Linked DNA regions of Xenopus tropicalis. The protein of the gene in region 2 purifies or fractionates together with the protein of the main gene of each other region. This does not show direct contact. Links are inferred from orthologs where the notes say so. Each region holds a gene or a part of one and is shown on either strand. Other genes may lie near its edges.

Evidence for each region.
Region 1: the proteins of topbp1 (region 2) and sirt1 purify together in Homo sapiens (affinity purification with western blotting; 3 studies listed by BioGRID, with this or other methods). This does not show direct contact. The link is inferred for Xenopus tropicalis from reciprocal best matches to the Homo sapiens genes TOPBP1 and SIRT1.
Region 3: the proteins of topbp1 (region 2) and cdc45 purify together in Homo sapiens (affinity purification with western blotting; 3 studies listed by BioGRID and IntAct, with this or other methods). This does not show direct contact. The link is inferred for Xenopus tropicalis from reciprocal best matches to the Homo sapiens genes TOPBP1 and CDC45.

What each region holds. Positions count from the first base shown.
Region 1 is NC_030683.2:38,251,031-38,254,499, forward strand, and holds the end of sirt1 (NAD-dependent protein deacetylase sirtuin-1), read left to right. Parts: intron 1-345; coding exon 346-861; intron 862-2,527; coding exon 2,528-2,832; 3' UTR 2,833-2,962; downstream 2,963-3,469. UniProt on the Homo sapiens protein: NAD-dependent protein deacetylase that links transcriptional regulation directly to intracellular energetics and participates in the coordination of several separated cellular functions such as cell cycle, response to DNA damage, metabolism, apoptosis and autophagy.
Region 2 is NC_030682.2:52,618,360-52,620,956, forward strand, and holds part of topbp1 (DNA topoisomerase 2-binding protein 1), read left to right. Parts: intron 1-725; coding exon 726-815; intron 816-2,460; coding exon 2,461-2,597. UniProt on the Homo sapiens protein: Scaffold protein that acts as a key protein-protein adapter in DNA replication and DNA repair. Composed of multiple BRCT domains, which specifically recognize and bind phosphorylated proteins, bringing proteins together into functional combinations.
Region 3 is NC_030677.2:154,245,153-154,248,814, forward strand, and holds the end of cdc45 (cell division control protein 45 homolog), read left to right. Parts: intron 1-308; coding exon 309-427; intron 428-846; coding exon 847-923; intron 924-1,869; coding exon 1,870-1,934; 3' UTR 1,935-1,935; intron 1,936-2,973; 3' UTR 2,974-3,175; downstream 3,176-3,662. UniProt on the Homo sapiens protein: Required for initiation of chromosomal DNA replication. Core component of CDC45-MCM-GINS (CMG) helicase, the molecular machine that unwinds template DNA during replication, and around which the replisome is built.

The DNA.
Region 1 (3,469 bases), on a different chromosome or scaffold from region 2:
TTTATCATAAGAGAAAGGTGTCACTGACAAGAAAGCATAGGATATCAAAATGGAGCAATGATCCAAACAAGGCAAAAATGCAAGCAGAGTTAGTACACCTTTTTAAAGCTTGGGATGCCCCATAACACTTACTGTTTATAATTTATTTATATTAATATATATTATATTTATAATGACCCACCAAAAACAGATACATTTTGTTTTAAATAATTATTGGCCAGTGTATACACACATTTGCAACCTAAGCATTACAAAGACTATATGAAAAGAATATTTGTGTTATTTCAATTACTCAACAAATGCCTGTCAGAATTACATTTGATTCTTCTGTCTATTTTCTTTCAGGTTCTATTCCTCATGAAGTGCCTCAGATACTAATTAATAGGGAACCATTGCCTCATTTACACTTCGATATAGAACTGCTTGGAGATTGTGATGTAATTATAAACGAGTTATGTCAAAGACTAGATGGGAAATACTCCCAGCTTTGTACCAATTCCTTAAAACTTTCACAAATCACAGAAAAGCCCCCTCGAATACACAAAGGTTTCCTTACCTCACCAGAGACTGTCCCATCTACAGACTTAAACACAGGGCAAAGTCCAGCACTACAAAGCGACCTGCGTGGAACAGACTTACAGCTAAGTGCTTCTAATACAATGCGCTCATTGGAAAAACCCGAGGAAGCCTCCAAGCTTTCACACAACTGTAGTGAGGAAAATCTAGAAGTGTCGAAGGAAGCTAACACACAGCTCAGCAATGAGAAAGATCAAGAAACAGCTGAGAAAGATACTGACATTGATTCAGCCAAGGATTTGGAAAGTAAATATACAAAAGAACAGATCAGCAAGCGCCTAGACAGTAAGTATATTACTTGTGTGCAGTGCCGTAGTGGTTGAAAAGTCCATCAAATTTACCCTTTTTGTCTAAAGGAAACTGCTAGTGGGGCAAAAGGAAAACCAAAAAATCTGTGACACGAATGCAAGTTTGCATCAGCAGGGTAAAAAAAAATTGTTCCTGACTTAAAAAAAAAAAAAAAAAAATCAACCTGGTACCTATATTGACTTTGTACTAAAAGTTAATTCCGGTAACCGTGTAATTTTTTTGACTCGCTAAATGGCATCTACAACTGGTTCAGAGAGATAATTCCCCAACTACACAGCTTTTATAATACATGCTTTAAATTCCCAAGTATTATGGCACCTATTAAGGTACAACAGTAATCGCCAGTAAGAAAAAAAAAAACTATACAAACATTGCCGTTTCAATATCAGTACCACATATTAAATTGGTTTGAATCAGGCAGGTTTATACATGTATCAATATAAGAGTAGTTTCATTAAACAGGATGCATGGAAAAGAGAACTCAAGTTGTAGCCCTAATTTATATATATATCAGGGTAGAACCCAGGGTCATTGTCATTGAATTTGTACTGAAAAGAGAACCCTTTGTATAGCACTGTAGAACATGTTGCCGCTTCATGTGTTGAACCACACTTGAACCACAGGCACAAAAAGAGCTTTGGCAACTTACTGTCTCCCTTTGCATTAAGTAACAGAAAAATCATTGCAAAAAGTACAAAGAATCTGTATTCCCTAAAGTAACATTTACAGTTCTGCAAAGTAGTACTACATAAGGCTAATATAACACACATGGTCCTTAAGCTGGCCATACATGTTTAGATTTTAGTCTTCCGACAAACATTCGGATATCGATCTCATGTTTAAATGCAACAATCTAAAACTAACATTCCGATTGAAATTGTAGGATAAAATACAAAAAAATAACACAGCGGAGGGTGTTCCAACCATGAAATAGTTGGCAGGCAGTATGAAAGTGTAGGTTCCCCAAGGATATCGGCAGATACACAATACAACCTTTCCAATTTACTAAACGTCCAATCACCATGGTACGAAAATTATCGGGATGATAATTTGGAGCCCACACACAGTCTGAAAACCGTCCGAAACTATGTTTTGTACAATTATATCGGTGCATTTATGGTCAGCTTAAAGCTGAGGGCACACAGAGCGTTTCAGGCTGAGAGAAGCAGGCCCACTTCCTTCTGCAGCTCTATTCGTCTAATCTTAAAAGAACAGCTTTTGCTTGTGTGCAGGAACTTTGAAATCAGGCATTTTCAAGTCGACCTCCACTGAATGCAAGCAGGATCTATACTTTTAAGTGCAGATCACTGGGGTGCAGAAGGGAGTGGATCTGCTTCTCAGCCTGAAAAAAAAAAACGGGCCGACAGCACTCTATGTGCCCTAGCTTATATGGCACTACGATGAAATACTATTATGTGGAGATCTTAGCACACTTGCTGCTTAAGCACCATCATGCCCACCCCATCACATGGTAAAGGTGTCCAGGATGCACATTATCCACAGGATATCAAATTGGATTGTTTTTGTTGGACCCCTGTTTGTTATATATAATTGTAAAGTGTTTGCTGGCGGCTTATAATTTAAAATGGTTATGTAAAATACATGTATGTGTTAACAGTATTTTTCTATTCTTTGTCTTCAGGCACGCAGTTTTTATTTTTAGCGCCAAATCGCTATATTTTTCACGGCGCAGAAGTGTTTTCGGATTCAGATGAAGATCTGACATCTAGTTCCTGTGGAACAAACAGCGACAGCGAATCTTTACTAAGCCCAAGCCTGCATGAGCCTATCGAAGAGGATAGTGATACTGAAGAATGCTTCCATGCTAAATATGAGAATGAGACTGATACAGATAACAGGGCAGACTTAGAAAGAGAACCCGAGAGGGTTGTACTGTATCAAAGTGATGATCTTCTAGGAATCGATGGTACTACCATGAACTTATAGTATTCCCAATGCCTTCAATCCCACCGACCACCAGCATTAGGACTTCCAAACTGGACATACATGCATGCCAGTTTGTGGGCTCAATACAGCATGCATTGCAAGTATGTTATTAAAAACAAAACCCACTTGGCATTTTTTTTGTTTCTTTTTTAAGGAAATGTATATTTACACTAGAACCTGGTGTAATTATTTTTGTACACATTCATCCTGTACTTCCTGTATTCTTTTCATTGTTTTGGGAAGCATAAATATACTGGTGATATAATTTATAAATACATTTTTTTAATTGAAATATTCTCAAACAAGAGAAAACTGGTTTGTCTTAAAGGAGCAGCTACCATAGGCCAAAGACAAGGTTTTTTTGTCATTTTCGAATATATATATATATATATATATATATATATATATATATATAAATACATAATAATTTTTTTTTTCATTTCCATTTTCTAATCCTCTCCTGTTATGCTTTCATTACACTAGTTATTTCTGAGGTTTTTTTCTACACTTAGTGTAATTATTATTGGGGAAAAAAAACTATTCATGAAAATATAACTACAAGTTTCCTATATTTCTGCCTTTTTAATAGACTGATATATTTACTGGGATAACAGCAGTACAAAAAACAAAAAAAAAG
Region 2 (2,597 bases):
GGTGAACTGTAAGTGGATGGTGGTCTTTTAGGCATGTTCAGTTACAGGTCACCACTTTACATTACCACTTCTAATTTGTTTACCTGCTACCTGTGTTGAAGTATCAGTCTACCCTGTAGTGATATTAGAAAGTTAGGGCCCAAGAATGTAGGAAAGGGGCTAGACAAGGTAAAGTGGGCAGAGATACGTAGATACTGGAACAGCATGTAACAGGCATAGAAGCAGGACAATGTCAGACATAGAACTAGACTTTAAAGAAGCAGTATACACCTATAATATAAACCTTTTTTTTACATAAGCAAAATAAATAGAATTTATGCTGAGAATTCATTCTGCCTATTGTTGAATTCTCATAGTTTATTTTTAGTACAAATTAGTAATTAGCAATAAGTATCTCCAAGTCCTATTTGTTAAATTAATGTTGATCAATGAAATATACTGTCCCTTTAAATAGAGAAACTCAGCCCTGATTGTCTAGCTCTAAACAGCAAATAAGGCTTCCTGGGATTTTTAACACACATTGGGGAAGACTGGTGATAAGCTGTAATTGACCAGGGACCTTTTGCTAACCTAACCTGGTGTTTTGGAAAGGCATCCTGCAGCCAGGTGGTCTGTCAAATCCCAGCATAGCAATAACCCAATTAACAGGTTTTGCCATCTTTATTACAGCTTTATTTACAAACTCAGAAAAGACTCACTATCCACTTCAAATGGTATCTTTTTAGGGTGCATTCAGCGGCTGGAAAGTCATTTTAAATGTTGACCAAACAAAGGAACCTGGTTTCAAACGTTTGCTTCAGTCAGGAGGTGCAAAGGTAGGCTGTGGTGTTGTTTCCTTTATTGAATTAAAGAACAAAATAGCAACTGATAATTTATTTGGTAGACATTGTTTAAAGCCCCTGCAGAACATAATTATTCATGGTAATATATACGGGCAAAAATGGTTAGTACAAAAAAATGTACAGTTCTTCAACTTTTATTTTACGTGCTCATTGCACTCCAAATGACTAATTGCTGGTGCCAGGAGCCCTGCAGCAGCTTCATTCCTTGTGTAATGGAAGCATTCTTTGGTGTGGAGCAGAACTTTGGCTGCTGCCCCAAGTGTCAGCATTAGTCTCAAAATGACATATATGCCATAGCCCCAAGGCATCTACCTGTAATTATTTTTCATTTGCAAAAGCTGGTAAGACCGGGAACAGATTAAAATGCACCTATGTTTGAGAGGAGATATATGTTTTAGTAAAAATGTACTAATATGGTGAAATGTAATGTGGATTACATTATGGCAAAACAGTGGCACGGGAGGATTTTACCTACTGCACTATTTATGCATCCAGTTTTCCGTATAATGGGTTTCCAAATAATAGATTACCATACCTGTAATGTTAAAGTAACAATTTTTGTTTTTAATCTGGTAGAACTTCCAAATTGTTATCAAACTGTATTCATGCTTGGAGGCATGCAGCAATGTGATCAGCTTGTGATCACTTGTTTCCTAGTTAATCTTTTAGTTAATCTTTTAGTGTCAGACATTAGTAGTGGTTACACATCTTTTTTAGCCGTGTCCCCCCAAAATCATACCTCATCTCCTCTCTGAACATATTTTTAGCTCTGTTCTCTTCATATGGCTTGCTCCTCCCTGGTTCATCCTCCCTCAGTTTTCAAACATTTTTCCCCACCCTGCACTGTTCTCCTTCAGCTGCCACACATATAGTCCCGTCCCTCCACCATCCTCCTTGCATCATCCACCAATACCTTTCACTATCATTCCATCTAATGTGTCCTGTCTTCCTAGGGCCATCCCTCTTCATCTATCTGAAAAGCAATTGGCTAAGGTGTAAGATGGGGATTGTGCTGTAGTCAACTGTCATAAGACATGGAGGAGGGCTAGTGCCAGCCAGAGAATTGGGTGGCTGAAGGAGGGTGGCGGGTGCAAGGATGGCAGTGCAGGACAAACTTAATAATACTGACAGCGAATGGGACATGGCAGATGGAGGTGAAACAAGAATTGTGTGTGACAGCTGAAAGAGGAGGCATGAGGGAGAAAACTTGAGAGCAGTTGATGGAACAGGGATGAGGCAGTACATGTCACAGATAAGAGTTGATGGTGCAGGGTGGACCAACCAGGCAGGAGCAAGTTATATAGGGTTGGTAAAACTGGAAATATATGCAGAGCAGAAATATGAGGGGACTTTGGGGAAGTCGGCATAAACGTGTAGGTACAGTAGAGTTTGACAGTGACAGTGGAAGGGCACACAAAAAGATTGTTATAAGGTACCCTAAAACAAACACAGACTCTTTACACCTTAAGCTAGAGATAATTAAGGACTGGGAAAAAGAAAATCAAGAGTCAGAGACCTTATGAAATGTGCCTGTGTGTGAGAAGCAGTCCATGTGTTCTTGCATCCTGATGTGATTAGGGATGTATCAAATATATCATTTTTGTATGTATATTTATAGGTATTTGCTGGCCATTCTTCTGCTCTGTTTAAAGAAGCCAACCACCTCTTTGCTGACTTCAGCAAACTGAAACCTGATGAGCCCAAGGTGAATGTGGCCGAGGCTGCAGCACAAGGAGTAAACTGCCTAAAGCCAGA
Region 3 (3,662 bases), on a different chromosome or scaffold from region 2:
CCAGGGGTTGTAGGAGCTGTTATTGCATGTGTCATTTCACGATGATAGATCTTTCTGAATTGACCTATGGGTCTAATTGAAAAATTGGGGAAGACGTTAAAGACATTTGTGGGTGTTTAATGTTTTTCTTTTCCTTTTTTTTTTTTGCTTTCATTAATTAACCGGTTTTAAATTAAGTCTACCCAAATTGTTGCCCAAAGAAAAGCCTAAGTGCCCCGTCACATCGGCCATTTTCCACCACCTAACATCAGTGTGTACTGTGCTTGACATGGCCCTAATACTACGTTTTTTTAAATTTTTTATTAAAGACCAAAAACAAACGCTGTAAGTTGCTTCCACTGGTGTTGGCAGCTCCTCTGGATGCGGAGAAGGGGACGGTGATCATGGTGGGGATTCCCCCTGAAGCAGAGAGCTCAGACAAGAAGAAGTAAGTCATTATTGTGGTTTCCTTTCTTTAAAATTGTAATTCTGAAAGAAAAAATTATTGAATAATGTGTGTGTGTGTGTGTGTGTGTGTACAGTATATACAATTAAAGAAAATGTGCCTGCACTTGTCTCCAAACGTTCTATATGTTTGGCACGAACCAGCATTCTCAAGTATAAAAACAATAAAATGTCTTTATTTCACATGTCACTTGTGTCCAATGTTTTGGGCCACATTTGGACCTTCCTTGATTTAATATTTGAGAGTGCTGGTCCGTGTGTGTGTGTGTACAGCACTCGACAGGTCTTGTGCTAACAAAAGTAATTTAGATTTTACTTCACAAACCCAAGAATTTTTCTTAAGTTGTTTTAGACTCTGCTTAGTATTAATTTTTTTTTTTTTCTTTTGCCGTCATGCTGCAGTTTTTTTGGACGAGCATTTGAGAAAGCAGCGGAGAGCACCAGTTCTCGGACGCTCCACAACCATTTTGACATGTCCAGTAAGTAACTGGTTGCTTTTTACAACTGCAACATTATGAGTTTTAAAAACTTAAACCAGTAACATTAAATAGAGCTCTCTGAAAGACTTTTTCATTGAAATACATTAACTGTTGGATGTAGATGCATGTGCAAACCCACCATCTGATCCGACTTGCATTACAGCTGTGGGGATCAGATTTTGTTGATCCTACAAAATCTTGTGCTGTTGCTTGGTCTTGCATGGGTCAAATATAACCAAATCTGACCAAAATCTCCTTTTGTAGTTTAGTCTTAATCCTTTAGATCGGCATGAATAGCATTGGATACGGTTTATTTCCCTGTGTAAGAACTAAACCCACTGTATTCTATGCAATTTATCTGTTCTCTGCTGTGTAAAACTGGAGCCTTTTTGCCCTGTTCAGCTTGAATGGCTACCTCCATGGCTGTACAACAGCTAATATTTTTTTAAACTATAGCAGTGTTTCTGAATCTCACACCTTTTAACAGTGCAGGATAACAGGACATCATAATGAATGCATATAAATCACTTAATTTGTTGGTGTTACCATTCCTTTAAGATTTCCTTGAAGCTTAAACTTAATTTTTTGGGTTCTTTCCTTTTGTACTAAGACCGTAGTTGTGCACAGTAGCTGGCTACCTCCGGCACAAAGGAGTTCTAATGAGGTCAGCCTACAGGAATTCTGACCTCTGTCCCTTTTGATATATTGGAGTGTTTGGAATGTTGCCAGCCAAGACTATTACTCTATAGGTACTTGGTAGGGAGGAAAAAAAGGTTGGCTTCCTGTATTGTGCCTAGGAGCATTCACTGACTCACGTTCACTAATCTCATAATAATGCCTGCATTACAGTAAACATCCTACCTGTGCCTTGCATATTGCCATACAAAGTGTGTGCTTGATATGCAATGTATGTCTAAACTTCTATTTATATTTTCTGTGTATTAAGTAATTGAGTTAAGGACAGAGGACCGCAGCAAGTTCCTGGATGCGCTTATCTCTCTGTTGTCATGAGGTATGTAAAAGGAAAGGTGTTGCTTTACTAGTCCATATATGCAGTATGCATTGAACATTTTGCATTGATAAAGTGATAATCTTTAGTCTTTAGTATCATGGGTCCAGTTAATAAAGAGTTTAGCAGTTTATCAAGTATCCCAAGAAAATTAGGCATTGTATTAATTAGGTGGTACTGGGACTGAAATTCGTGTGAGCTAGTGCTGTCAGTGTCTGGGGTTAATACAACCTTGCACTGTTCTGTGTACAAGTAAAAGCAATTAGTGAAGAGGAGTTTTTCCAAATTCATAGGTGAGGCAGGTCTGGATTGTTGGATAATGTTGCTTAAAGGGGCAGTATACCAGTTTTTCAGCATGAGTGCAATAAATGTGACTTGTGCTTAACATACTTTTTTACCTATAGTTTTAATCACAAAAAAATCTATGGCTTCTCATATTTATTGCGATGAACTTGGGATATTGAAGCTGCTCCATGTTTCTACCTTGCAAGGTAGACAAATATATTTCCAGGCAGATTTCCAAGCAGAAGTCCAATGTGAGGGGGATTATCTGTGCATTATTCATCATAAGCGCTATTCAATGCACTCATGTAGAACAAGTGGTATCCTGCCTTGTGTAATCTAATTCAGTCTGATTTCATATCTGCTCACACATAACATATGGCACTTGGGCTAAAGTTGTTTTCATTTTTGTTCTCACTTATTCATTATTATAGTTGAAGGAATACTGTCATGGGAAAACATGGTTGTTTCAAAACCCATCGGTTAACAGAGCTTCTGCAGCAGAATTCTGCATTGAAATACATTTTACAAACTTTTTTTTTTTAATTAATTTTGAAATGTCACATGGGGCTAGCCTTGGTCTTCATATACCAGGGTGCCACAGCCACATGATCTGTGCTTTGATAAACTTATAGGAATAAGGTAGTTTTCCCCTTTACTTCAGTGACTGACTCAATATAAAGCAATTGGCCATTTCTGGGGGGCTTATACTTTAAAGCTATATTGTTTGTATTAACTTTTTTTTTCCTGTCATTTCAGTAACCCATGGCTATTTTCACCTGCCTCTTCTCAAGATCTCTTACTGACTTTTGTAAATGTGCATTTTAGTCTCCCATTTTAAAGTGTCTTTTAAAAAAATATATATGTACTGACTAAATTATTTAGCTGAATGTATTAAGCCCAGTGTAATAACATGTTTGTATCTAAAACTGTAAATAAAAATTAAATTTCTATTGTAAAATTTGATGTCTATTAAGTATTTGGGTAATTACAGAATGAGTGAATGTTAGCAGTGTACATTTAAGGAGCAATACATTTTTGTTGCTCAGAGAAAGCATGTTGGCTGTTCCAGGAATTCCTTTTTAAAGACTATTGATGCCTTTATAAATCCGGTGTCTTGTGTAACCACAAACCATGTGGACCACTTTGGTTTTAAAGGTATAAGAATTCTTTCAGGCAACAAAATCGAACTGCCTTACTCCTGGTACTGGAGAGTGTTTCATCCTGACATTTCATGTGCAGTGGCTGAAACTGCCAAACAGGCACAGGTGACATGGCTTTGACTGTATATGACTAGCAGTGAAACACTTAAAGCAGAGTTAATGCAGTATTTATTTGGGGGGGGTAATTGGGGGAGCCATAGGTACTTGAACGTTTTCTGTTTTAACTAAGTTTGTGGTAACGAGGACATCCAGGAGGATATAGCAGACAGGAAAGTGGACACTTGA